4 linked regions of the Lepisosteus oculatus genome follow. The protein of the gene in region 1 purifies or fractionates together with the protein of each later gene. This does not show direct contact. Links are inferred from orthologs where the notes say so. Each region holds a gene or a part of one and is shown in the gene's direction. Other genes may lie near its edges. The genes, in order: slc38a9, lamtor5, lamtor1 and lamtor2.

Evidence for each region.
Region 2: the proteins of slc38a9 (region 1) and lamtor5 purify together in Homo sapiens (co-immunoprecipitation; 5 studies listed by BioGRID and IntAct, with this or other methods). This does not show direct contact. The link is inferred for Lepisosteus oculatus from reciprocal best matches to the Homo sapiens genes SLC38A9 and LAMTOR5.
Region 3: the proteins of slc38a9 (region 1) and lamtor1 purify together in Homo sapiens (co-immunoprecipitation; 5 studies listed by BioGRID and IntAct, with this or other methods). This does not show direct contact. The link is inferred for Lepisosteus oculatus from reciprocal best matches to the Homo sapiens genes SLC38A9 and LAMTOR1.
Region 4: the proteins of slc38a9 (region 1) and lamtor2 purify together in Homo sapiens (co-immunoprecipitation; 5 studies listed by BioGRID and IntAct, with this or other methods). This does not show direct contact. The link is inferred for Lepisosteus oculatus from reciprocal best matches to the Homo sapiens genes SLC38A9 and LAMTOR2.

What each region holds. Positions count from the first base shown.
Region 1 is NC_090698.1:26,536,649-26,543,690, forward strand, and holds the start of slc38a9 (neutral amino acid transporter 9), read left to right. Parts: upstream 1-4,031; 5' UTR 4,032-4,118; intron 4,119-7,042.
Region 2 is NC_090700.1:37,465,805-37,473,375, reverse strand, and holds the start of lamtor5 (ragulator complex protein LAMTOR5), read left to right. Parts: upstream 1-4,553; 5' UTR 4,554-4,674; coding exon 4,675-4,709; intron 4,710-5,182; coding exon 5,183-5,244; intron 5,245-5,851; coding exon 5,852-5,969; intron 5,970-6,714; coding exon 6,715-6,775; 3' UTR 6,776-7,571. UniProt on the Homo sapiens protein: As part of the Ragulator complex it is involved in amino acid sensing and activation of mTORC1, a signaling complex promoting cell growth in response to growth factors, energy levels, and amino acids.
Region 3 is NC_090700.1:12,730,399-12,737,599, forward strand, and holds the start of lamtor1 (ragulator complex protein LAMTOR1), read left to right. Parts: upstream 1-4,196; 5' UTR 4,197-4,370; coding exon 4,371-4,412; intron 4,413-5,796; coding exon 5,797-5,942; intron 5,943-6,061; coding exon 6,062-6,139; intron 6,140-7,170; coding exon 7,171-7,201. Other genes in the region: sfrp2l (secreted frizzled-related protein 2-like), read right to left, coding at 1,488-1,798, 2,199-2,276, 2,881-3,403. UniProt on the Homo sapiens protein: Key component of the Ragulator complex, a multiprotein complex involved in amino acid sensing and activation of mTORC1, a signaling complex promoting cell growth in response to growth factors, energy levels, and amino acids.
Region 4 is NC_090722.1:3,022,370-3,029,950, forward strand, and holds the start of lamtor2 (ragulator complex protein LAMTOR2), read left to right. Parts: upstream 1-4,581; 5' UTR 4,582-4,710; coding exon 4,711-4,778; intron 4,779-5,384; exon of another isoform or gene 5,385-5,525; intron 5,526-5,678; exon of another isoform or gene 5,679-5,750; intron 5,751-5,934; exon of another isoform or gene 5,935-6,017; intron 6,018-6,504; coding exon 6,505-6,667; intron 6,668-7,581. UniProt on the Homo sapiens protein: As part of the Ragulator complex it is involved in amino acid sensing and activation of mTORC1, a signaling complex promoting cell growth in response to growth factors, energy levels, and amino acids.

The sequences.
Region 1 (7,042 bases):
TAAAGCAATCATTCACATTCAGGAAAATCAAACACTCGTGTATTACACATGTACGAGCTCTTTGGCTGGCTTTTAAGCTCCTCCTCTTCGTTCTATCACCATGTACAGCAACCTTGAGTTTTGGAAAGGTGCTTCATAAACCAAATAAATAAAATCCATAAATACTAGTATTATTAGACCTTCACATCATTCGTTAGGGGGGACTGAACCTTTTCAGCAGTAGCCCACCCACCCCCTCCCCATCTTTGGGGCACAATTCCCGACCAGATCAAAAACACACCCTCACACTGATATTTTTAAATCTCGCCTGAAGGCTGACTTGCTCTCGATGGCCTTCGACACCTAACAATTCTTTTACTTTCATAATTGATGCACTTTTTGGAATTTCTTTTTCCGACTTCTACACATTTTTGTTGTGTACAATGCATGCAAAGAGCCTCGAGATCGCCCCGATTGAAAGACAGGAATGAAACCGACTGCCGAGAATGAGGACAATCGCGCATTACATGTTTTTGGAAGATTGCAAGAGAACCGGCTCACACAGCTCTGCCAAAGCAAAACATCAGATTCATATCCCCTCTCGTTGTTTCGAGAAGCTACTTTTAAAGGCGCCATATAAGATCGTTTATTTTTACGGATAAAATAAGAACGCAAAAGGAACGAAGACGGCCATCACGGTGCAGAGTCGAGGTGAAACAGAGGAGTTCAGGAAATTGGTTTTGAATCAGGGATCCTCAAAAGTTTCATCCTCAGTCCAACGGGAAACAGTGCTCATGGTGCATCTGTTCACCTGCAATTCTCTCAGCACCCTCTCCTGATTGTATCTGGGCTACTACTTGAGGAGTAAGTACTGCAAAAGTGTCTTCGCACCGAGTCAAAATTAAGCTCCAGACGCGGCGCCTTTTGTCTTCTATCGTTTTAATTTACTTAACGAGCAATTAACACAAGCATGGCCATCACCGAAGGTGCGAACGTACAGCAGGCTTTCGATCAATTGGAGGGAAGGCGGGATGATTTTCCTTTCCGCTGCTCGCTTGGGGCAAATTAAATTATCATTCAACATCTCAGTGCATCTCTTCTTACTGGGATACGTTGGTCGGTTTTTTTTTTAAGTCGCTTCAAATATTCTCGTTATACGAGAACACACACCTGCTTCCAATCAGCAAAACCCTTAGAAAGGCGGGGAAAACCAAATCTAATACATCAAGCCTAACTACACAATTTAACTATAGCTCCTTTAATTCAGAATTAGTCTGAAATCGCTTCGCAAAATACTTCACACACCAAATAACATCTAACCTAAGGGTGTCGTAGAAACTCCCGGGAAAACGTTTCCTCCCAAACGAGGCGCCAAAAAAGCCAAGGCTGAGCAGGCCCGACTTGCGAGCAAACTCAACTGCAATACTAAAATCACCATTTAAGTTGTGTATTTAAGAAAAAACGACAAAGCGTTGGAACAGTTAATCATTTGCAAATAAAACCCATTCACCATTTTGCATAGCGCGTATATATATATATATCGGCCTCAAAGTGCTTGTAATAAAGACGAAAGGGCAATTCAATATTTTAAAATGACAAGAATTACACCTGACGCCAACATAGAAGGGAAACGGAAAAAGTACAAAGACATACAACTACACTAAAACATTCACCATGCGGAAAGGTACGATTTAAAGAAAACGGAACTACATACTCGGTTGCACATTACTTACGGATTACTGATTTTATTTACGTCGTTATTTTAACGAAAGAGATTGACTTCAAAGCAAATAGCTCCGCGCCAATGTCCCCCAGTCCCGCTTCCACTCGGTCTCGAAAGAAGCCGCGTTTCAGCTCCGAGCCCGGTTATCAGCTGGAACGAAACACGTGGGCAGGATCGCGCGCGTCCTTCTCCCCGCTCGGCACCGTGACGTCACGACACACGAGTCAATTTCTTGAAGTCAGCGCGTCTATCTGCACCTTGCTCCCGATTCTTCATCGGTTCTTTGTTCCTTTTTACAGCTGATGGGCGTTTTGATACATTTTTATGCTAAGAGGCCCTTAAAGGTTAACTGAGGTACGAAATGGGTTACAACCGTATACCACTTACTGAGGCTCAGAACCGCACTGATTCCGTCGTGTTAACTGAAACGTAATCAACTGGAATCTCCGGAGGTTCGTGAGGTTCAAAAAGCATTCAGGGTGGGAATGTGTGATACTTTGTCAGTCCCACCTGTGTCTGTTCACCTATTACACCTATTAAGAGCGGTTAAGAAGCAAACTCTGAAAACAAGTTGGGGAGACGCTGCTTAAAGGTAATCATGTAAAAGTTGACACATGAAATTAAGGGTATTTTAGAAACCAAGACTTGTGAAGCTAAGCAAGCATTTTGGAGGTTACCTTTTAACTTGTGTTTCATAACTAATTTAAGATTTTTCACTTTTAAATAGAATCTCACTATTAGGTCAATAATAGGTCACAATCTCACAGGTACGTGGGCATCCAAGACCAGAATTTGGAAAACATGATTTGGAGTATCCTCCAGAGACCTACACATTGGCAAGAAAAAGGGAAAACTCATTTCTGGCTTATTGGGAAAGGTTTAATAACTGGTTCTAGTTCTGGATGTTCTGGTGCTCTGTTAAGATCTGCATACACACGGGCTTCATGTTTGTCCTTCTTTGTATTAGAACATAAGGCTGTTATGCCCAACTCCTCTAGCTCTTTTTCTTTCAGTAGTTAATTGATCCAAAGCTCTCAGCCAGCTCTTTCCTAAAAGGAGTCAATATATCAGCTTCAACAATATCAGTGAACTGTCTGTGCAGCCATATTGCCATTCATGGCCTCCTATTAATCCCTGTCTATGAATTGGGTTCATCACTCTGATCTCCTCCTTAATGATAGCTGATGTGTGGTGAGTGTACTGGTGCACTATGGCTGCTGTTGTATCATCCTGGTGGGGCTGCACATTGGTGGTGACGGGGAGTCCCCATAACCTGTAAAGTGCTTTTGAGTGGAGTGTCCAAAAAAGTGCTATATAAGCGTAAGCAATTATTATTATTGATAAACAATTCAGTATGATCCAAAGCTCTCAGCTCACACTATTCTACGAGAGCTTATCAGTGCATTGTACATTTTAAACTGTACCCTAAATTTCTTCTGCTCACGTATAAGGCATTAAGTGCTTTAGCTCTTGATTATTTAAAGCACTTTCTGCTTGAATATAGTCTAGCACATAACTTTATACTTTACCTGCTAAATCTGACCTTTTTACTTGTTTATTTCACTTTGCTTTTAATTCTGTTGTGTATTATGTGTGCTACTGAGCGCTCAATGCTTCTTGCAAATGTCTCAAACAACAATTGCCTTGTTATCATTTACATAAGATCCTATCATGTCGACCATCTTATGAGCCCAAGGCAGCTTCAATATTCATGTACATTTTGCTTTTATTAAGCATTCAGATGTTGTACATGTTTGTCTTTATACTATACCGTTTGAATTATTTTCTTATTAGGTTCTGTATTGTTTGGGTAGTGCAAGCTGTGCCCTGTTTAGGATATGTTCTTGTTATTTGGTCGTGTTCTTTTAGGAAAGCTTTATGGCCTAAGAATCATGACAAACATAGGAACAGGTAAAGGTTTATTCCATGCTGAAATGAAAAGAAAAAGAGACAGCGTTTTGCCTTTTTCAGGTCCCAAACATACATAGGACATATATAAACATAAAAACGAACAATGACAAACATGACAATGACAATACCCCTCTTCATTTAAAAACAGTAAAAACTAAATCATTTATATTCTGAATTAAACATAGATGTGAATACATTATTGTGCACGAAATAATCACATTTCTCTTCAGTCAGGTGAGACTCACGAATTCTTTCTCATCTCTTGGACTGTCTACACAGCCAGGTATCAAACTCAGCTGACTGAACTGTAGGCATTCTGGGTAGTGTAGTTGAGTTGAGAGTATGCCCAATACCTGTCCCTTCTAAAACACTACAGACCCTATAAGGCATTGCGACAGCTAAGCATGTGCAATGCACGTTCGCATTGTTTCCTGTTTTTAAAACGCTGCTCGAACCGTGAGGTCCGGGGGTTGGTGTTTGGTGTCTGGTGTCTTTGGTTTTTAATGTAAGTTTAAACGGGTTTTTTAAAGTTGATTAATAGCTCTTATAAAAGAGCAGGGCTGTTTTATGGTTTCTAGTTTGCAATCATAAGGATTATATTGGTATTAACAGTTTAAATTAGTTGTTCACCCAGTAATTGATTTCTCGGTTAACTTTACGGTACTGGTCATAATAGTTATATTGTTTTTAAAACGAGTCAGTTGAGTACAATTTAGGAAAAGGTGTAGACGTATTTTACTTTATAGCACCTCGATAAACGTACGAGCTAGTTAAAGCTAACGTTTTCAGATAAAATGTGTGAAATGGATGTGGTTTACCTATATTGTGAAATGTGTATTCCATGAATTTCATTTTATGTGCTGCATACAGTTCAATTTAAGGATGTCCGATTTGTAATCCCGATATATATATATATCGCTCTGTATAGAAAGCATCAAACGTTGAAATGTGAGGGGTTATGCTTCTTTTTACTCTTGTATTAGGTAGTATTCTTGTATTTGTGGCTCGGTATATGATAACTTAGGATACGCGGCATTCTGAAATGGATATTTATACGTAATTTTCGAAGCAGAGCAATTGCAAAGCAAAGCCAAGAATAAGACTCTGAACATCTCTCCCGTTCTGGAATTTTTAAAAAGCCCCTGTGAATTCTGGCACCCTTGTCGTTTCTTGGAAAGGACGAGCAGCTGTTGCTGCCCTTACAAACTGAACAAATTGTTTTAACTACACGATATTAATGTTTTTATCAAGGTTGCGGTCAAAACAAATCCGGCAGCTCAGACGGGAATTACTTGTTTTTTTCCCCATCAATTATTCCACATCAGGGTAGTGTGAATAGTCAACGATGAGAGCTGCCGTAATTCCTTACAGTCTATTCTATTGCAGGAAAGTGCACAGATATTTATTTCGAGGTTTTATGAAGAGGTGCCTCCGTTACAGTTATTATCACGACGGTATACTTAGCCAGTACGTATAATTCTCTAGTTGTTTGTGTTCTGTGTAACTCCTAACCATGGCCCTGTGATCCCTCTCTAGAACCCTGTGCTATATGTATTGATTACAGCTAGTTGGCGTTTTAACTACTGAAAGACTGAAAGCTGCCTTGTAGCTTCCTTTATCAATTGTTGACTTTCCACAGTTCCCTGTGTAACAGAAAATGAAAATATCTGCATACTTGTCAAATTGAATGGATTAAAAATAGCAGTAAAACCCGCAGTTATGTAAGGCATGTCAGCTCCCACAAAAAAAACATCCTACAGAGAAAATGAAAAAAATGCCTCTCATAGGCTGAAGAGAATTTATTTCATACTAGAATAGAATTTCAAATAGAATAGGATTTGTTGTATCAGCACTAGGGATTTCGATTTGGGTACATTGGCATGTCAAACACAACCTGTTCTCTTAGGGTTAAATATATTCTAATATGCGACTTTTAAAATTACCCTGGTCTCTTTGGATTTAAATGTGTAAATATATGTATGTATCATGACATCTGTTATGTGAAAAAACAGGTCAACACCAAAAATGAGAATTTGAAATGCTTATCTGTGCCTTGTGGTACAGAAGTTGCATACATTTAATCACTTTTCTTAGGAAGAAATGGAATCTCCTTTCTAATAAGCTAGGTTGTTCTACAGAAGGTTTGTAGTAGTGGATTCATTTATAAATATTTAATGAATAACTAAAACAGCTGAGTCAATACTGAATACTATAAGTGGCCATTGGTGACATGTAATGATATTTCAGAATTTTTATTTTTAAATATCATTTTTATGTAATGATATTTTAGAAGAGATAATCATGTAAAATCCTGCCTTATTTCAATGAAGAGATGCTGAGTTCCTCATTTTTGAAAATTGAACTTGGAGCAGAGGCATCTAATTCACCTTCCCATTATGCCGCTTCCTGTATTTCTTGGCTTGTTCATGTACAAACACACTGATTGAAACCTCCCTGAAGACCTGCTGTTTGCAGGAGATTTGTACACAACAGGTGGATCATGTTTTAGTCCTAATTCGAATAAAGAGTTTTTTATTTACCAATCTAAAATCATCTGTGCGCTTTAATGGCTATTATCACCAAATCTAAATATGAAAAGTGTGTATTTACAAAATAAAATATTTTGTTTTAACCATAGGTTTTGCAAACTTCCATTTTCCAGTGAGAGACTCCCTTCTAGTTACTTAAACCGGTTAGTTTTAAAATAATGTATAGACCCATGAAAATTAGTCGTAAAAAACAAATCGGAAGGCCATTACAAGAACTTTTGCATTTGAACGGGCAATGTTGCCGCATAGTTCAAGTACAGATGGTATCATCAGAAATTTCAATTAGGGCATCGGACAAGTTTTCTAGTTCATAGCGGACAGGCTTCAGTTGAAGTTATTTATTATAACAATAGCTAAACAACAAATTGCCTTACATCCAATATAAAAGTTTCCAAAACAAGCATAAGCTCTACAGACCCAGAAACCCAGAATCCCTGTAACCTGAAATCAGACAGTGTATAATGCCCAATCAGGCCAAAAATCAGGCCTGGTGTTCTATATTCACAGAAACCAACTCAGTTCAACTCAGTTTTTCCTATAATCCTGGAAGTCCAAAAGTCAAAGAGACTCAATCTACCTGTTCTAAAAACCCTTCACAAGACCCAAGACCAAATTCCACTCACCTAGTGCTTCTGTTTCCTTCTGTTAATTCCCTGTCTCTCTCTTCATCACTGTTCCCTGACCTTTCTTTCCTGCCTTCTTATGATGTCTGTCTGTGTGTTAAATGTGTATTCTTCAATTTTAATTAACCAGAGTAGATTTATTTTGATCCTCTGTCTTTTACAGCCCACCCACAGCTAGGTAAACAACTCCGTTTCTTCCTATTGTTTTTTAATTTTACAACCTCTTAAGCCATAACAATATTAACAAATATGTACTG
Region 2 (7,571 bases), on another chromosome or scaffold:
TTATTCTTTACATGAAACAGCACTAATCTCTCCCTTCAGAGATTCAGAAGATGCATCGTAAATAGCCGTAACAACCTGCTTAACACTATGAACCAGGAGAAAATTCTGGAGCCTCTGATGATAGATGGCTCAGTCCTGTCTCTCAACTAATTGCAGACTAAGTAGAATGAGCAGATGTTCCATTAGTTAATTAATAACAATGTCTTAAAGAAAGGTCACTGGTTGGTAGAGAGACAACAATGAAAATTAAGATCTTACCCCCTGGATTTGTAACTAGGAACCTTCACTCACCTCAGCTATGATCCTGGATGGAAAACCTGTGGTTTGAATGCCATAATGTATCTGTTTTTCTGATCACCTCATGCTGCAAAGAATACTTGGTGTCAGTTTGAGCTGCATTAGAATGATATGGTAGTTAGCCTCACTAGTTTTGGGTTTTGGGTTTTTCTACAGTACTTGACTAACCTCAATACTCATCTTTTTAAAAAGAAGTGCTTAATGCAATTTGGTTTTGTGGAGGAGCCAGAGGCTATCCTGGCAAGCAATGGGCACAAACAAGGGCACACCCTGGACGGAACACCAGTCCATCGCAGGGCACAGACAGACACAGACAGACACAGACATGCACACACTCACACCACGGCCAGCTTACCCACAAGCCAGTTAACCCACTAGTAGGCCTTTGAAATGTGAGAGGAAACCAGAGCACCCTGTGGATGTGAGGAAGTCATTTGTAAGAAAATGTTTGCAATCTTTAAACATTTGACACAAGATTCAGAAAACAGACATGGATACAAACATTAAACTCTAAACACTTGTCATAAATTCTTGAATGAAAATAATTTGCATTATTTCTTCCAACATGGCATAGACAAGAAACGTTATGGGTAGATAAGGTAAAACAAACCATCCTGCCACCAAGAGCTGTGTGAAGCTGAAACAGCCCAGCTAAACCTGTCGGACTGCAATAAAAAGACTTTCCAGTATCAACACAAAAGAACCCGAGTCACCATCTCTGGATATATGGTGCATCTGTTGGTGACCTATTGTACAGCATAGATTCGCGATAAGGAGTTTCATCCATTTGAAACCATGACACAAGGCAGTTTCAGACAGCACTCCCACCAATGCTTAAAATAGAGCTGCTCTTTTCAAAAGACTGAACTCACAAGAGATGAGAATCTGTAAAGAAGATCGCGTGGCAATGCTGTTATCGGTGGTCTTGCAGTGAACTGCTGACCTGAGGAAGGGCCAAGCAGATGGTGGTACGTCTGAATAAAGTGGGTCTGCATTAGTTATAACAGGGGAATCCTGGTACAGCACTGAAGAAATCCATATTTATGAAAATCAGAAAGCAGAGCTTAGTAAAACTCCTCAACTATTACGTGCACAAGTGTGGTTGGTACAGGATGAATTCAGGTTTTTAAATCTCTGTTCCTAGCTTAAAAATAAAATCAGAAGTTAACTGTTCCTCCCCCCCATAACATCCTTTATACTGCATCTTTAATTGGCTTAGGACACATTCAGAAAGAGTTCAACAAAGTGCAAAAAAGTTTGTGTTAAAAAGAAAACTGGAGAGAGAAACAAGAATTTAGAAGAAATTTGAAATAATCACTGAGACATCTTTGTGATCAACTCATTTTTCTTTGTCGTTTGGAAAAAAAGTCTGCTTCAACTCCATAGCAGAAATGCTAAATACTACTGTTTTAATTACATTTACAAATCGAACAGGATGGAGATCTTTCATTTTCTACACATCTGTTGTTTCAAAAAGTCCATGTTATTGCCTGAACCCACAGATTAACAAGGGACTCTAAAGACGAAAATCACAACAAAGACAGCTTTTTGCGAAATCAGTAAGGGCCTGTAGACTGGCTTGAGAAATTTGTCCTGGAGAAAGTCAATTGTTGACAGCTCCTGGTGTTTCCAAGCACTGCCATGTAAGATCTTTGAAAGGCAAATTCCATTATTAAATATTGCACAACCTCCCATCCCTCCAAAACACCCTGAATTGCTACAGTTGATCAAGGGCAGATCACCTTCCCCTTTCATCACCTTCATATGCCAAACCTAATTCTCAGGTGGTTTTCAAATAACAGTCTCACTTCCTTCCAGGCTCTATTCTTTCCCTGGCTCAAGCTCTGCTAAATCTCGAGCTGGTAGAGGTCAATGGTCATTGGATGCCACTCCTCTTCTGTGTTTTTAAACAGAACCTGACCAATTGTCATCCTTCAAATAGTCAGCTGACTGAGGATGGCAAGTTACCCCTACTGCCTTCTGGGGAATGTAGTTCAGGCAAGAATCTCCCTCTCAAAATGTGTAGTCAGGAATAGACTGACTGTCTCCAAGGGCGGACAGTTCTAGTAGTCCTGAATCTTAATCATGTAGGGATGGATGGGTTAGCTCTGATAAAATCCCTGTACATAACAACTCCTTTGCTTTTCTAGGAAAGAAGCTGAGTATAATGAATCCCAGTAGATAACATCTTTATTATGTATGCTTGCCTTTTTGTAACAAGGTTATATCTAAAAGTGCAGAAGCTTGGATGGTATTTTCGGTAAAATGCCCTGATGAGGACTTTTGTAATCCTTTTTATTAGATGAAATACAATGCACTTTCAGTGTGACTAAAAATAGCCAGACTTGAGATAGATGCTGTATGCTGTATTGCATTCCCATTTAAGGGTAGATGCGTGGAAAATAATTAATTCTAGTTGTGGCTGACCTTACTATAACGAGATATGGTATCATTACTGCAAATTAGAAAGGAATCCCCATGATACCGCAGAAGAGAGGGCTGGTGAGTTCATCCAGTTTGCATCACTTCTTCACCTTTCCATTATGGGTCCATCCAGTATTTAATGTTAAAGACTGTTAATGTCAAAAAGCTCATCTGAGAAAGGCTCTGTATGGTGCATTAGTCCATGATCAGGCATGTTATGAAGCTGAGAAAAATAGTCTATAATGAGTGAAAAATTGATTTAACAACACACAAGTGAAACGCTATTACACATGTACTGTGCATATTTGAAACACAGGAAGATGATTACCATATTAATATGTTTACAATATCCTGTAGGTTAAATGATATACTTTATACATGGTACATTCATTCATTTGTACTTTACACTAATAAAGATACTGTGACATTGCCTTCATGATATGTATTAAAAAAACAGGCATAGGAAAAACATTAAAATGTATAGTAGTAATGCTTAAGGAAATCAAACCTGAATTGTTTTATTCCAATATAAAATGGGGAAAATAACTAAAATGGTATTTTCTGAGGAAAATAAAACTTTTTTATTACTATTATCATGATTTGTTTTGTGTTTGTAACTACAGCGACCAGTACGATGGTCATACGGCTGAAGCTCCCCTGTGTACAGTGACCAGTTTGCATTGCTCAATCCACAGCTGGGCATGTGAGGAGAGTGGGAGCTGAATACAAGAATAGAGATCTCTGTGCTCCCTGATCAATGACTTTGACAGCTGGCCTGATTCCAATTTCAATCCATAATTCTTCCTCGCAGGGAAATTAATGAAGCCAAGGGCTGATTAGGTCTGAATCACTCCTCCATGACTAATTCAGGGTTATTTATCAGCGCTCTGTGGGCCAGGACACTGCACTACTCACACAGAGTTGTAGGCACAAATGATGTTCTCTCTAAAACCTGGGCGACTGGCACAGCCACACTCATACCGAGAATGTAATATAAAACAATGTAAGAGCTTAATCTGAGACTCACGTCAGCTCTTGATAAACTGCGATGAACAGTGTTATTGTCACCTTGCTGTTACCTTTGAAATTGATTTTGTAGGACATTTTGGGTGGCAGACCTGAAAGTACTATGGAAAGCAATTTAAGAATCTTATGAATCTTAATGCCAACATCCAAATGTTTACAAGAAAGTAATGCCTTTTCTCTTCATAGGTTTGTTTAATTTAATAGCAGTGTGAGATATACCATCCTCATCAGACCATAAGTTATAATGGAGGAACATCATTACTGTGTCAGTCATCATTTCTAAGAGTATAGGGATGAACTGTTCTAAATTTAATCACTTCAATTCATTATTTTAATAAAAAAAACAAATCAAGACCATTTGTATTCTAGTGCATCCACTGTATTTTTATAATGTTTGTTCCCAAAGCTCAGAATTTATTAAACACCCTTTCAAACTTGATGAATGAAGATGGCCATGTTTAGGAACATCTAGGTTCATAGTTTGAGTTCACATCCAAATACCCTGCCAACAGTCCTCAGTGAGTCATTCTTTGTGGCGCAGAGTGCCGCCTTCTGATTTTCTAAACAATTCTAGCAATTATTATTATTATTAATTAATTATTAATTATAAATAATAATAACACTTTTTCACTTTTCACTCCATGGGATGGCAGGAAAAAAGCTGATTAATGTTTAATAGTGTCTCTAATGTTTAATACATGAAAAACTACATCTTACGTGGTCACTGAGGTTGACTCAATACTTTTGTCTAAATCGTATATATCGCTACGCTGGTTTGACTCTTGTGGGCTTCCGTATAAGGTATTAGTCACGTGTGTAACTGTCAGCTGACTGCTGCCCATAGTGAGGAAAACGTCTCTGTGCTGTATTTTCCACAATTTACATTGTTTTATTTTTGTAATTTATGTTACTGTGAGCCTTTAAAGAATGGAGTCAACACTAGAACAGCATCTAGATGATACGTGAGTTTTTTTTTTAATATAATCCGCTTTTTAAGTGTTTTACTTTGGGGAAAAAACAAACGCGATCTGGAATAATTAATTATCTAAAATATTTGACCTTTTTAAATATAAATTATACATAGACAGCGATTTTAATATATAATCGTTCTAAACATAATTGGCTAATTCCAAAAACGGTACTAAAGTAGTTCCTTTTTACATTTTCATACCCTAGTATTGAAAGAAAAAAAATAGATACCCACGGATTCACTAACAAGTTATCTGAGTTAAAATAATGTATTTGTTTACTTTCAATATGGCTTTATTTAAATATTTGTTTTTATAGTATTTCTATTTTTCGTTGACCCAAAAGTTGATCGCCTGCCTTTACCACTAATGTCGCCAGAGAAAGACTTCAAACGTTTTACTTTCTGAGCGATATCAGGGTACATACGCGCTCTTTAAATGAAACAAATCTGTCTTCTGCCTGTCAGAATGAAGAACCCTGCCATCGTGGGGATCCTCTGCACTGACCAGCAGGGCCACAACCTGGGCTGTGAGTACACACACCTGTCCCACGGGCTGTGCTGCTTTGTTGAAAACATCGCTTTGCCACTACCTGTTGTTTCAGAGTCCTGGAGAGCCGCAGTGCTTCTTAATTTACTTAATCTGTTTACAGTTTACCACCTTTTTCAAGAGTTCAGTTGCATAGAGTTTTCTGTAATGCCTGCAGAATGAAAAATATAGTAAAGAGAAGTGGTCCTTCCTTCGTGTTCTGGAAGGCTTCCTGTGATTCTGGTTTTCATTCCATTTGAGCTGTTACTTGCGAAATTAAATCAATCATTTATTGAAGAGTGAAGGAGTATGGATTGGGTTCCCTTTAAAAAGGGAGCTCTCTAGGACCAGGAGAGAGGGTCGCAGCTACGGGCAGTCCTGAATTTCAGAACGGTACATTAGTCCAATGGGAAGCTTCAGCACGGAGATCAGATGGCCTTGCTGCTGTTCACGCACGAATGGAGCTTCCACAAGCACGGCAGTGCCTTCACAACTGTGACTTTGAGTGTTGGCGAAAAGGGGGGCGCAGTCGTTTCAATACACAGGGTTCAGGTATCTGTGTGCCGGCTCTGACCTGCCCTCTCCTGCTGCTCCTGTCTTGCCATTAGGCCGCGGCACGCTGTCTGATGAGCACGGCGGAGTGGTGTCAGTGCTGGCCAAGCAGGCGGCCCAGCTGACAGCGGACCACACTGACTGCCCCACGGTGTGCCTGGAGTCGGATGCTGGGTAAGAGGGGGCAGGAGGCTCTGACTCTGCCTCGCTGAACAATTGGGCTTGTTAAGTGCACGGCTTTTACTATTTCATTAAGTTACACCCAGTTCTTTAAAAACGCCTCGTTTCTCATTGGTGCGGTTCAACTACATTGCCTAATTTATGCAGAGTCGTCTTACTTAATGTTCTATATGATTGCAAAACGTTTCTTATACCTTTCTACATGTTGTCACATTTTCTTTCCATTTCTCTCTAGGCATGCTACTGTAGGTACAAAATGCTTGTGTTCAGTGTCTGTTAGAAGGGATTTTTTCTGTATTTGCTTCTTTGCTTATACTGCCACCCTGTGGATTTGAACTAAGAAACTGGGGTGTTAGTTGTCTCTGAGTTTTACAAAGCGCCCTGAAAACTCTGCAGTGGGGATGAGAACTTCACTCCTTAAGGGCTATACCGTTCAACAACGGAAGACCAAAACAATAGGATTTTTTTTTTGGCTAAAATATTTCATTTGTTTAAATGAATAAATGTCAGAGGCGAATGAAAACTGCAGGAGCTGCCTGTCTCAGATCTACAAAGTTTTTCTTTTTCCAAAGCTCTGAGGAACTGGGCATTAAACAGGTCTTATGACACCATGGCACTAGTTGTAAAAGAGGATGTTTAAACCTCTCTCATCTCATGCTTGGGGTCATTTATTCCTGGAACTAAAGTCCTTGTTTATTTATTCTTGAATTATGAAAGACACTTTCTCTTCTCTCTGTAGGAACATCTTAATAAGGACACATGGCACCATTACAGTAGCTGTGCACAAGATGGCATCCTGATTTTTCAAGCAACAAGAAAACACTTTACTTGTTTCCCCACCCCCTTTTCTTTGTTTTTTTATGAAGCGCATAACAAACTCCAAATGGTCATCTTCCAATAAAGATAAAAAACAACTGAATAAGCATTTGAATGTTGAGACCATTGGAATACAATTTCTTGTGTTAACAGTTTAGTAACATATTGCTTTGTTTTCATAGAAGGATGGCGTCAGTCATTCAGACACAAAGTTAGACATTGCATTTCTCAGTCATTTGTGCTCAGCTCCTCCATTTTAATGAGCAACTAGTTACAAATAGTTTGGGGATTGTTGGAATGCTTGTGTATGTACACGAGCTTTTCAAGGTGAATGTCTGCTGGCTGCCTCCCTGATAGGTACAGTACAATGTTTCATAAGTTCAACTGATCTGAACTTTGCCCAAGGTCGCCAAAAGGTGCATAGCATGAGGTCATGCTACTGAAAACTGAAGCAAATGACAGCTATGTCATAGTCTGGCCAGCACTGGGCTGGGAAAACAATTTGCTAGTTTCAGTCTTAATAAACAAGTTCTAGGTTACCCTTAAATGTGTTTTTGTCCACCACACCATTGGTGGAGATTCAGTGGCAGAAAATGGAACTTTCAAATGGACAGGTAGCAAAATCTCATACATCATAGAAATGAAGGGCATATTTTTATGATTTGTTGGTTTGAATCATGACTTTTATGAAAGAAACACTGGGCACTTAGCAGAGGATTTGAACTCTTTTTGTCATTAAGCATGTTTTCTGCTGTGCTTTGCTATCTGCGAGTTCTGTGT
Region 3 (7,201 bases), on another chromosome or scaffold:
TTAAAAATAATACCATACATTGTACTTGTGGTCTACAGTATACACCACAGAAACATACATTTGTTGATTTTGTACAGAGCCTCAAAAGAAGCTTCAAGCAAACCAGTAGCACCTTACATTTATGTACTCAGTTTCATCACAGCTAGATGTTGCAGGTCTTTTATCCCAGGTCAGTTTGTCATACAATCCTGAGTGTGGGAACAGTTCCCCTCACAGCGATGCTTAGTGCAGAGCATGTGAACTAATCACAGTAAAGACCCCAGACCACAAACAGCGGAAGCACACTTGAATATCAGAACACTGGTAATGCAGTTCAGACCAACCTGTTTCGAGAAGATATTGGATGAAGACTCTAGGGCTGGGGGAAACGCAGCTCTGTGTTGAGCTTCGGGCCTTAAATGCAAGACAGGTAAAATTGGCCGAGTCACCGCTGTTAAGAGGAGGTGTGTGAATTATTGATGCGACCCCAAGCTGATCCAGTAATTCGCAGAGAGAAAGAGGTGCGGGATCCTCAAGGATAGGGTTACCTGCCCCGCTTATCGCAGCAACACGTCGACAGGAATTCTCCAGAACGCATCACAAGTTCACCCCCGGGAGGCTTGGTAATGTGACCTTTGTTCAAAGATCACAAAGCCTTTGTTTCAAGCAATTTTTAATGGGAAAAAAAACACATTACTAAAAAAAAACCAGGAAAATACAACATCCCCATCAACGTGTTTTTTGGTTTGAAGTCCTTCGATTTGATGGAGGTTTATTTTTGTTATACAACCATTTAGAAATTCTAAAACCTCGGCAATTACTGTACTGTCCAACAATTTACTATATTTGTGTTTGGACACTTGGATTTAGGTAACATTGATCTAAAAATGTTACTGGGTATTGTAAAGGGTGGTACGATATTTGTTAGGCTTGAAAAAAATTGAAAAGTCATTTAATGTAGACTCAATTTAATGCCCCCTCCCACAACCACCACCTACATATGAAATATTTTCCATTTCATTTACAGTAATAAAACAACATGCAACAAAAAACACAACAATCATAGGAAAAGCTATTGCTTAACAATGCTGATGTTTATTTATTATTTTGTAAAAATGCTTTCTGAAAATGACACAACGTATGCACCAATGCTGTCATTTATATAAATAATTCAATGTTTTCTGATATAGTAATTAAATTGTTAATGGCTAGTTACATACAACACCTTCAGTTAAATTCCCCATTGTATTGCCCTTAAGAGACCCAAAGGTACATGGCTGATGCAGAAAAGCATTTTTAAACATTGGAATCTCTTTCCTGAGTGAGGGAAACGTTTTCCATATTTGATATTAAAGGTATTTAATGTAACCAGACCTTTGTCATTTATACTGTGGTGTTTCTGTACCCCTGAGAACTTTTCTGTTATACTGGACAGGGAGGTTATATCTTCTATTAATATTCACCACCCCTATTTTCCCCATTAAATACACACGTAAAGATCCATCCACTCAGCAGCGGAGCTTCTGCAGTCCCCTGAGGAATTTCCTCAGCTCCTTGTCAGAGCTTTGCCACAGCAGCAGCTTGGAGAGAACCAGTCTACCTCTCTGTCTGCTCCCCAGGGCCAGAATGATGCCAGAGGAGGGACCATCCAGTTCCTCACAGGCGCACCTGCTGCCCTCTGGCAGCCAGAGGGCGCTCCGAGCCATCGACTCCTCCTCAGCGCGGTCACCTTGTCTCAGCACCACCCGGCTTCTGCCGTTAGGAACAATCTTCCGGTCAGCCCCCAGCAACTGTGTCTCTTTGACCCTTAGTCGCACGACTGTATAGAAATCCAGACAAATAAAGCAGAAAAGTGTAAATTTAATAGTCTTTATGTGGAAATGCAGGTAAAAATAAGGGTATTTTTTGAGATGGTAGCCTTACTCCTACATATTTTCTTTAAAAGCTGATATTTTAAATATCTGATATTGATATTGTTTAAATACAACTACCATCCAGTTGGATTTAAATTAGAATTTACTTTAAATCAGTGTTTTCTGAAGCAATCGGCATGTTTATATGCTGGGTGGATTGATTTAATCTCACGAATTAAACACAAATATAACATACCAGGAGCACATAGAATTCAAACACATGCACCATACGAGGAGCGTACAAAATTTGGATTAGGAAAGGTACTCCAGCACATGCTCTGATCATCCACTTTTTATTGAACTCACCAAAATCGCTTTTGCAGTAATTCTCCAGAATCTCTTTCCCACCTTCTGGCAAACTGCACGCCTCGCATATCAATGTCCCTGTGCGAAGGAAAAAGGAATCTTAATTTATTTTCAAGGAAAAATCTTTTTAGAAACATATTCGTAGTTGAGTCGTCTTTAAAACGTGCACATGAAAGAAAAGCAAAGATAGCAGCAACTCACCGGCAAACATTCGGAGGGTGGTAAGCATTTCAAGTGAACAACGTTTAAGTATTTTATTTCGAATTTGTGTTTCTATTTAGTGGTAGATTAATATCAGACAATGTTTCGAGGTTCCCACCTCTGCCTCATAGAAAGTAGATGTCATGTTACGGGGAAGAAAATTGTTATAGACAGTATTAACTACTCTGCCATCAAACACGACCAGCCGAGAAGTGGCACAACCATTGAAGTCTAATGCAAAACCTCTTAACAACCACGTATCGTTTTGCGCGTTTCATAACACGCTCCCTAGAATCGAATCTCTTGCTTTCCACTTTAAATTTATGCGCTTTCAGATTTTTTTAAATCAATAATAATACATTGATTTTATATGGCGCCTCTAAAGGTAAATTCGCAAAGCGCGCTGTGTCTTTTCGATGACAGACTTTTAAAAATAGTATTTGAAACCAACACAATCAATGACAGGTGAATTCCAACAAACCGTCCATATCGTTGCTGTGGGGCCCCGGGTTGCCGTTGTCGCTGGACGGAGAAGCCGTGGGCGGGATGCAGACCTCGGCGCCGGTCGGGAACTGGCTGCAGTTGAGGATCTCAGGCCAGGGAAACCCGAAAGCGCTCATGACAGGCAGGCAGCCGTCCCGGACTCCCTCGCACAGGCTCCTGCACGGCCGGACGGGCCGCTCCAGCTCTCGTAAACAGACGGGGGCGAAGAGGGAACAGAGGAACTTCTTGGTGTCGCGGTGACACTGTTTGGAGAGCAGCGGCACCCAGGAGCCGGCCTGCTGCTGCGCTTCCTTGATGGTTTCGTGGCCCAGCAGGTTGGGAAGGCGCATCTCTCTGTAGCCTACGTCGTGGCACAGACCCATCGTGTTAGGAATGGGTTTGCAGACCTGGCGCTTGGCGCTGAATCCAGTGGGGGCGAACTGTAGCGAAGGGTCAGCTGCACAGACGCGCCAGGATGTGAGCAGTATCCAAACTTGAAACGGAATGGATACCGCCATCATGACGTTCGTACTTTTGAGTACTAAAAAGCCTTTAAATCAGGTTTCTTAACCCCACAATCAGTCTTCGGTGTAGTTAATTGACGTTATTCACTTATTCAAACTGATGCTTAAGAGGCATTTCGGCATCCAGTCTCTTGTTTCAAGATTAAATATTGACATTCACCATACTTGCCAGAAAGATAAGCTGGGTTCTCCCTCCATTAGCTGCAAGTACGAATACGAGTCGCCAAGTACAGTCCCCCGTCTTCGCAGAGCTTGAGAAAGAGTGTTTCTCTGGTGTTCTGCTAGGAGATAAATGCCATGACTGATCTGTAATTCACCTAAATTAAAGAGGGAAATGGTCGAGACACATCCTGTCAAACTGGTTTTTAAACCAGGCATTGTGTAATGCCATCTGTAATACCATCCGGGAAATGTGTTTATTGAGGGTTATAAAATTGAGACCTGTTATTTAACTACAGTGCTTTGAGGACGTGTTGGAAGTGCCAGCTTTAGTAATTTACACTTATTTTCAAATTCTTTGCAATCAACATTTTTTTAGTTATGTTTAATTAAAACCATACGTAATAACAACAAAAACGGTACAAAACACAGCAACAAAGATGTCAGTAGTTGTACTATCACAATCTACCCCCACTGTTATTCTTGCACGGAGCTGGCGGACAAGACGGTCAATTTTCAGTTCCTGTATCACGTGTTGAGGGTGTTTTGGTTTCTCCCAACTCCGCTTCACGTCAGCCGGAAGTCATATGTTATTGCTACAGAGCTGTTGTCATGTGACTACAAGCCTGGGGTTTGGAGAGAGGGGAAGATCGGAAGGAACAGAAGAGAAGGGGGTTGCTGGTTTTCGTCTTCCCAAGCCTGCACACCGGAATTTCTTTCTTTCTTTAATTAGTTTACCGGGAAGAAAAGCTGGAGATTGCATTCGGTTCGCCTGGCAGAGAGCCGAGAGCCCCCAGAGGATACCATGGGTTGCTGTTATAGCAGCGAGACGGAGGCCACTGATCAGGTGCTGTGATCTGTTCTAGTGAAGCAATGGTCGAGGTAGCAGTAACACGCATTCCTAATGTAACATAACCTGGGAGACTGAGAGAGGGAGTATGCGGGACTGGATTGACCCGAAGAGAACATCTCTATTCCTTTAGCTACCGTATAGAAAGAAAATGTTTGTACCAAAAATTGTGAAGACGTAGTGTGTTTAGTAGGGCCTAAAGGGCAAAAGTACTACACGGGCAAACATACTAGGGCTAGAACTTAGTAAAGATGGTTTTCTAAAGTACCCAAATGACAAGGCTACAGGAATGCAGGATTGCATGACCTGAAACGAAAGAATGTGCAGCATGAGATTTATTGATTTCTTATTTTTTTTCTCTAATTTTCAACCTTGGCAAAAAAAAAAACAACAACAACAAACGAATCTGATTCAGCATGACAAAATAACCTCGTCTGTCACATGACTCTGGAACTTTGCAATAATGTGCAAATCACATGACAAACTGTCCCTTGCATGAAATATTTAGTCATGTGGGACAAAAAAAGTGACAGGCGGAACAATTTCAGAGTGCATGCACAATGAGCCAATTGGACACCAGCCTCTACTGTTCCTTTTCCTCAGTGATGTGTCAGGATGTTATTTGATCATGTCTTCTCAGAAAGATATTTGCTTATAGTATAACACTTTGCATTGTTTTTAGTTTTGCATTGTTAAAACTATGGCTTGGATTTTCAATGGTTAAGCATTTTTTATGGCCAAAATACTATAAGCGAATGCCACTATGCAAAAGTGATTTTGGATCCACCTGAGGATTTCATTTGAAACCCATAGCTCAGAGATTAGCTGGAACATGTATCTGGCTGTGCAGTGGGTTGATTTTGTTATTTTACATCCCCGGAGGCCTTTGACCAAATCCAATTAATTGTCCTGAAAGTTATTGAGTTAAGGAAGGTTTAGGAAGCTTCAGCCTAGACTTACATAGTTCACAAAACTCTCACACAACACTACACAATTTGTCACATTTTATACAGGGTACATATTCAAGCCAGGACTATAGTGATTCATTACCACATTTTTTTTTAAATGTAAAAACTCATGTATTGCTTAGCCGTTGTGTTCAGTTTGGCAGACATGGTGAAAATTGTATTTCTTGTCAAAGGTGTAGTTCACAGTGTACTTTTTAAAATATTGTACTGAGATATGGAATATTTTCATCACCTGATTTGCAAGGTATTTCTAAGCTTCAGTCCTGGCAGACAAATAACAGCCCAGGGTTTATATTTAGCAAGCAACCCATCATCTGCTTCTAAATTTGCGATTTTTAAATTGTCCAGCTAAGGCGCTCACTCCCGGTGTTCCCTGCTTGCGTTTGATGAAATGCACCATTGCTGCCTTTCAGGACCGAGATGAGAGGAAACCGCTGATCCCCCATCCCAACCCGGACAATAAACCAACCAACGGAGCAGAGAGGAATTCAGCCAGCCTTCCCTCAGCGCGGACAGATGAGCAGGCCCTCCTCACGTCCATCCTCACCAAGACAGCACTGTAAGTAGATGGTGGAATGGAAGCATCTTATCCACACAGTGAGACTGGCTGCTGTGTGGTAGTCTGAACACACTGAGGGGACAGGGAACTTAGAGGCTCATTCTTGTTTTGCTCTCCAGGAATATAATTGATGTCTCAGCTGCAGACTCCCAGGGAATGGAGCAGCATGAGTACATGGACAAAGCTCGACAATATAGGTAGGTTCAAACTTCCAACTCTCTACTATGTTGCTTGTTCTTAGGACATTTAAAAATATCTTTGCTTCCTTAAAACAAATTCCTGTTCTGGATGATAAACAGGTTCTGCCTGATGAAGTATTAAAGCTAGAATCTTTTGATACAGAATCATAAAAACATCTAAAATGTTTCCTGGAAAATGTATCTCTTCAAAAGTCCAGTGCTTGGTTTCTGTATAACATGATACCTGTCCTGAATTTGCCACTGTCTGTAGCCAGTGGAAGCCATGATCCAGCTAAACCCTGGACTCCAACTTACTCTCCAAAAAAATAAACCAAACTTAAAGTGTTACTGTGGATGATGGCTACCCATGAGTGCAAGACAAGCTCTTTTGAAGATGATATACAAATATTCACAGAAATACAGAGTACTTCAGTTACCACTCGGAGCAATAATTGGGTCCACTTATATTGTATCATTTACACAAGAGTAATAAAGCCCCTTACAATTTGTAGGCACTTAAATTTAATTACTCCGTTTGTTTAGAGGACATAGGTCATATGTCTGTTCATAAGGATTGTTTGGTTGAAAGCATATTGAGTATCTGTCTCTTGATTTATTTGTAACCATAGAGTTAAACTTTATTTACGTATTGCACTTAAGTGCACGATGGAGGGAAATTAACATTTCAGTAAACTCATTTGGCAGCCTTGTTCTGAATAGAATTTGGATTAAGGCCACTAACTGACACACTAAACAGATAACAGTAACTCCAGCTACTCCTTGAGCAGTTGACTTCAACTGAACTCCTCAGATGGCCTGAATATCAAATTTGTCATAGTCGAAATTTACTAATGGCCTTCTAGCTGTTAGAAATGCTTAGCTTGTGAAGATTATAGATGAGGTTTAGCATGATCTTCGTAATGGAATGCAAGCGACAGTCTTGTTAAAACGCCAATTAATCCAGTGATGTGCTGGATCGTTTTTTCTTTGAAAGAAGGTAATACGTTTTGTGGAAATTCTAATGATAACTTCTGCTGCTTATGTTTTAGTACAAGGCTGGTAGGCCTCAGTAACACACTG
Region 4 (7,581 bases), on another chromosome or scaffold:
TCTTTTCACCAGAGCAGCAGCCGCCTTTTTTAAGAACTGTACCGAACAATTCAGACAAAAAGGTCTACTCTTAGTTGACATGTGGAAAGTGGTACGTGTGCGCATGTTTGATGTCTCATGTCTGCCCCGGCTCGATGTTGGAAGACATTCTTTTTTGCCAGAAACTGGAACAGAGTAGTTAGCACACTTCATCAAAGGCCCTTAATATAATTCAGCTTCAAACCCAGTGGTAGAGGCAATTACCAAGTCCTGAATGCCTCTTCCAAACAGAACGGCCAGCATCCTGGTACAGTTTACCTCTGGCTGCTGCACTGAAGTTTTGAAATAGCTGGGGCCTGAATTGTTTGCCATGCTTGGCCGGGATTTTGAAACCCTTCATTCACAGGCAATACCAGTCCCAGGGGAGCACAGTTTCATTCCACCACTGATTGAGATCAGAAGGCAGTCGCCCGCTGGCCAGCATCAGCTGCTCACCTCTAAAGCCCCTGTCAAAGAGTGCAAGTGTCCAGCCCTCACAGACTGGCGTTACACAACAGAGACGGGCAAGTCTTAAAGGAATTGCAGTCGCCTGTTTTGGGGGTAGAGGCTTTCAGAATGGACCCATGACCGAACGGGAAGCAAACGAGAGATGTTGCCGTGGAAGGTGGAGAGAATGCAGAAATTCCATTCCAACAAAATCATTCCAACAGCCAATTTTAAAGGTGTATTTTTGAAAAAAATCATTAAACATTACATGCACAGAGATTTCTGTGCATGTACACAGATTATTTTGTGTTTTGTTTAATTTTTAAGTCTTTTAAACAGCGAGCTGTCTTATCTCACCCAAAGCACTGACCACAAGAACTGTGGTATAAAGAATGCTTACTCAAATTGTATTATTCAACTCTGTGGTTGTTACCTGCCATATTATTACATGCATAAATATTAAACCAATGAATTGTCATAGTAGAGTTAGCACATAACATCCTTTTTTTCAAATTTGGTCAACAGTCATGTTGATCTTGTCATGGCCATTCTCTTACCAATTGCCAATCTCCAGACTATCTGGAGTGCACATAACTGACCACTAGGTGGTAGCCAAAGGCAGTTTTCAGGTTTTCCAATTCTCATTTGGGATGGGGTATAATAATAATAATAATAATAATTGCTTACACTTATATAGTGCTTTTCTGGACACTCCACTCAAAGCGCTTTACAGGTAATGGGGATCCCCTCCACCACCACCAGTGTGCAGCCCCACCTGGATGATGTGACGGCAGCTATAGTGCGGCAGAACGCTCCCCACACACCAGCTCTCAGTGGGGAGGAGAGCAGAGTAATGAAGCCAATTCAGACATGGGGTTATTAGGAGGCCATGATTGGTAAGGGGCAATGGGAAATTTGGCCAAGACGCCGGGGTTACACCCCTACTCTTTTCGAGAAACACCCTGGGATTTTTAATGACCATAGAGAGTCAGGACCTCGGTTTTACGTCTCATCTGAAGGACGACGCCTGTTTACAGTACAGTGTTATATGTTAGTGTACCTTTTATGCCACGAAAGACAATGCACATAACAGTATACGTGTGTTTATGTGTTTTCCTCTGGTCACTTGTGTTCTCAGTTATTTCTATGGTTTTGTGCCCGATCAAATAGAAATATGTTTGGTAGAATAGTCAACTTATGTCAACTTACTTAAAAAGAGTACCAGTAGTGAGAAGCCTCACAGAGCACTTTATTTTAGTAAGAAAATAAGATTTTCTATTGCTTGATTATGAGCTTTATTGTGAGATATTGTGGAGTTACCATGAATGCAGAACTAAAAGAATTAATCCTTCTTAACCCAAAGACGTTGGGTACTGTCCTGTTAATCCGTTTGGACTGCAGCGACAGAAAAGGGAAAATTTCAGCTGTCACTTCTGACGGGTGGAACTACTCCAGGTGTTTGATTTTCTCCAGTCCAGGTCATTCAAGTTTCTGTTGAACTACAGTTTAGCCAAGATCTATCTCTTGGGCGGGTGCCCTGAAATCCCTTGCAATGTGATACTCTTAAAAGCCGATGAAGTCTCTTCCTCATTTAGTGGTAGCATACGTTTAAGGTCACAGACTGCAGGGTACAGTTGTCAAGTATCGAGCTGGTTTTTCCATTATAGAGTTCTGGGGGAGCATATTCCAATAAAAAACAGACGCAAGGCTGGATACCTCCTGGACGAAATGCCGGTCCGTCACAGGGCAGACTAACGCAAGTACAAACTCACACCAGGGCCAGTTTTCCCAGAAGTCAATTAACCCACCAGCATGTCTTTGGCCTGAGGGAGGAAACCCACATGAACATGAGGAGAACATCCGAACTCCACACAGACAGGACCCCAGGGCCCCAGTGCTGTGAGGACATCTACATGCCTGTGTTTCTTGTTGCCAAGACGCATGATTCCTGACTAAAGAAAGTATACGTATTCAACTTGAATAAACTGTTCAAGTTTGATTAATCCTTTGTCTTTTTGTTATGGTGGACAAAAAATGCCAATGACAATGTAAAGAGATTTAAGAGGGCGCTGGGCCTGTATACCCTGTGTGGTCTGTGGAGTAACATCTGCCAGCCTCTGGGATTCTGCAGGAGGGACACGGCACCTTCTTCCAGGAGAAAGGAAGTCAACTCGCTCCTAGTGGACAGAGGTGAAAACCCGTCTCAAGCATTGTCATATTACCAGCAGCCATATCACTCTGCAACTCACAGCTAACAACCCCCTGAATCTCAGCAGGTGTGAGCCTGGTCAGTACCTCGATGGGAGACTCCTGGGAAAAACTAAGGTTGCTGCTGGAAGAGGTGTTAGTGGGGCCAGCAAGGGGTGCTCACCCTGCGGTCAATGTGGGTCCTAATGCCCCAGTATAGTGATGGGGACACTATACTATAAACAGGCGCCGTCCTTAGGATGAGTCGTAAAACTGAGGTCCTGACTCTCTATGGTCATTTAAAATCCTAGGCCACTTCTCGAAAAGAGTAGGGGTGTAACCCTGGTGGCCTGGCCAAATTTCCCATTGGCCCTTACCAATCATGGCCTCCTAATAATCCCCATCTATGAATTGGCTTCATTACTCTGCTCTCCTCCCCACTGATAGCTGATGTGTGGTGAGCGTTCTGGCGCACTATGGCTGCCGTCGCATCATCCAGGTGGGGCTGCACACTGGTGGTGGTGGAGGGGATCCCCATTACCTGTAAAGCGCTTTATTATTATTATTATTATTATTATTATTAAATATGCTGTAAATGCTCGATTGGGTGCAGAACTGGTGACTGAGGTGGCCATAATATATGAATAACATCAGCGTCAGGCTTATCAAGCTACTGGGTGTCCACACTTGCTCTGTCATCCTGGACAGCTCTTCTCCCAGCAGGAAAGACGTGCTTGGAGGGACGATGATCGCTCGGGACCTTGAGGCAGTGATCCGCATTGGTCTTCTAGGTTAACGAGTGTCCTCCCACAACATTAACCCCTAGAACCCGTCTCTGCCCCCTTGATTCTCTGCCCGCCTGTCGATAGGTGGGATGTGCTGAGGTTGGCAGACTTTGTTGAATAACGCAGAAATGACTCTTCGCCTGCCTTTCTTGGGGGTGTGTATGGTAACTGACCCCGATCCCCAACAGACTCTGGAGCTCGGACTGTGCTACTGTGCAGACTAGCGAAGGCCAGGGGCTTCTCCTGAGACACCTAGGCTTCAGACACAGACTGTGACTATTCTAAAAACAGGTGAAACTAATGCAGCTACTCTACACACAAATATGGAGGGAGAGGTATTAGACACATAACAGGTGAACTTTTTTCTATGTTAACGCTCGTCTGTGTATAATGATGATAATGAGAAGTACAGTATTTTAAACATTTCCGAGGCGAGGTTATCTGGAAAACTATACATCACACCGACAGTAATAACATGCCTAGACTTGTTTATCTTATCTTCGAGTACAATAACAACTTGAACAGGTTTTCGTACTACGTATTTCAAGACTTTATCGTAAAACAAAGCTAATTGTAATATCTAAATCATAAGCTTATCTACTTAAAACCTTTAACCACATTACAAGGCTTTTCCTTCTGCTTTTCGCTTCAGACTTTTGTCAATTAAATCTGCGTGTTACTGTCCGTAACGTGAGGGCATTGTAATGTATACTGCTAACCAAGTCCCAGGTGTTTAGTATGATGCAGTATTTTGTGAGTTGTATCAAGGGGAAGGTGATGGGGGTTGATTTTACAAGGGTAAACCCCACTAGAAAAGGCCGTACTCCCAGGCAGAGGAGAAACACAGATACTGTACTTAATTTCGGGTACTGTACTGAGTTAAAGGTACTACAGTTTTTTGTTTGCGCCTCAAACTAAACGGACACGACACAAAAGTAGACGGGGCCACCTGGTATTTATAAGTCCGCTGTACGTGCCTTACGCCGGATAAAATCTGTCCGCGATACAAACTGAACCGCTGTTTAATGGAACTGTTAAAGTTTTGTGAAAACTACAATCGAGACGTGTGCACAGGACGCTACCGCGTCGCAAAAGGAAACTACAATTCCCAGAACCGCAGTGGACTCGAGACGTAAACAGGAAGTGACTTCCGGAATGTTCAGTCAGCTGACGGAGTGGTGCTTTCCGCGAGGATACTGTATATTTTGGAGAGTACAAGTATTGTAGTTATTTAGATTTAATACTTGATTTCTTCGTATTCTTTTTTCCAACCATGCTGCGACCAAAGGCACTGACTCAAGTTCTGAGCCAGGCGAATACAAGCGGCGTTCAGAGTACACTGTGAGTAATGATGAAGGCTATAATAACCACGTTTCCACCTGATATTTTCACTGATGCGGACTGTTCTGCTATAAAATATATTTGACTGGGTGGGAGATAACCTACACTTAACGCAGCTGTCGAACAAAATTCGTGGGTAACCTGCGTGGGAAGCGGTAACGAGTTTCCCAATCTGAGCTGCCTTCGCCTCTCTTGCAGAAAAAGCTCGTATTTGGTCTCCAGTAACATCAGGAACAGCAGGAACTTCCCCTTAGCGGCAACGGCACGTTTACAATGCCAGCGCGACTCAATAAGGTGGCAGTTGGTATATAGGCTTTCTCGGAAGGCTGAACTGCATTGTGCGATAGTAAAAAAAACGTATGATAAAATACTCAGCGTGAGTACCCGAAGAAGAACGTGTCTCTGCAACATCCTGAAATAACCAAATGAAGATCAATAATTAATTAATTCACTTTAAATAATGTATACAGCATTTTAAAAAAATATATTTTTACGGCCACGTAGTGATTAATTTTCTATGTATTCGTACACGTTTTTACCTGAATCCCAGGTTTAACTTCTAATTTCATAACATCTAGCACATCAGTCTGTCAATGTATCTGGTATAACGCTCTTCACAGCGCTTTGCCACAGATTATTTTACAGATTTCTATGGCAGTATAACTAGTTTGGGAAAAGTATTCAACTAGCAATAATCGCGCCTCGGGCCAAACCTCATATACTGCGATACAGCCACTGTGCAAAGCTGTAACTGACCATCGGACACAGAGGAGAGGAACTCAGAAACTCAGAAACTGGCAGTGGGAAGAGATAAGCCTCCGGGGGTCCCCGGGCAGTGAGTTTGGGGTGCAGTAATGATAGATAGATAATACTTTATAAATTGATGAAAGTCACATACAGAGGGGGCACCCAGATTTGAACTGGGGACCTCTTGATCTGCAGTCAAATGCTCTACCACTGAGCTATACCCCCATAAAAAAGGAGACCCTTCCCTGACCGGGAATCGAACCCGGGCCGCAGCGGTGAGAGCGCCGAACCCTAACCACTAGACCAGCGGGGAGACGATGCTGCCTGGGGACCCCCGGAGCCTTATCTCTTCCCACTGCCAGTTTCTGAGTTTCTGAGTTCCTCTCCTCTGTGTCCGATGGTCAGTTACAGCTTTGCACAGTGGCTGTATCGCAGTATATGAGGTTTGGCCCGAGGCGTGATTATTGCTAGTTGAATACTAATGATGATGTATTGTGAGCAGTTTCCCCAAAGCCCAGGGCTGATATCCTGTTCTCTGGAACATCATGGTCGTCACGGTTATCCGAGTGAGCTAGCTGTGGTTCCCTGGGTCTGTTGTCATGGTAATCCAGGACTGCAGGGGAACCGGAGTCTATCCTGGTAATCAACGGGCGCAAAGCATCCCTGGGCGGGATGCCAGTCCATCACAGGGCAGATACACACTCGCACACAGAGCCAGTTCTTCCAATTAATCCACCAGCATGCCTTTTCACTGTGGGAGCAAACCACAGCACCTGGAGGAACATGCAAACTCCTCACAGACAGCACCCCCAGTACTATGAGGCAGGAGTGCTTACCTCCACAGCACCGTGCCTCCTACAGACTGTGCCTTCAACACTTACTTTGGAAACTCAGTGGAGCCAGCCTGGAATAAGAGGAGGGCTCCAGCAGTCCGTTAGAGACTTGATGATGGTGACTTTCCCTCTGCTCCTTTCCCCAGCCTGCTGAATAACGAAGGCTCCCTTCTGGCCTACTCCGGCTACGGGGACACAGATGCCCGCGTGACCGCCGCCATCGCCAGCAACATCTGGGCAGCGTACGACAAGAACGGGCACCAGGCCTTCAACGAGGACAAGCTGAAGTTCATCCTCATGGACTGCATGGTGAGCCGCTGCACTTCCCCGCGTCCCCACCAGGGGTCGACTGTTCCACTCCTCCAGTGCTTCGGCAGACTGCTTACTGCTGCAAGGAGTCAGAGTGGACCAACCACGAACACTGACCACAGGCAGTCTAGAGGACTATAGCATCATCACCTCTCAGTAGTTCAAGTGGGGAGCTGCGTCAGCATGCGTAGTCTGCAAAGGAACAAGTAATCGTTTATTCCAGGCTGAGAAGAAAGGAAACACAAGTTTCCCACTGTGGACCCGAAGAAGGCTCCACCGTGGAAACGTGTTTCTTTTCTTCTCTTTTCAGCATGGAATAAACCTTTACTTGTTCCTCATCACCTCTTAGCCCTCTTTTCTGAGATATCGGAAGCTGATCAAGGCCGAACCTGGACTGCACTGGCATGGGAGGACTGCAGGAATAGCAGTTTGCTAGTGTAAGCGGTGTTGGTAGTAGGTGGTGCTTTTCTCCCTGGGACAGGATTTCCAAGACAGTGTCTCAGCATAGTGACGGGGGGCGCTGTGCTGTAGGACAGGGGCTCCCAGTCCTGCTCCTGGTGGACCACATACCCGATGATTTCTGTTCCCAGCCGAGCCCTCAGTTCCACAGCTGAACTCTTAATGGATGTATTAATATCGATTCATTCATTTTTATATTTAGATTTAATTTGACTGGTTTCAGCTCTAAACATTTTGGAGGTTACGTTTTAACTACTGTACCGCATTTCGTAAGTAAAATCCCCAACTTTTGAGTAGGAAACTCAATGGCAAATAATCAGATCGCTCAGGTAAGTTGTTAGTACAGTGGAGGGTTGAGTGCAGGAGCTACGCTGGGCTGCCGTGGGTGTGTGGGTCTCCAGCAGCTGAGCTTTGAAGCCCTACTCTTCGGATGAGACTTTAAACCTCGTTCTTCA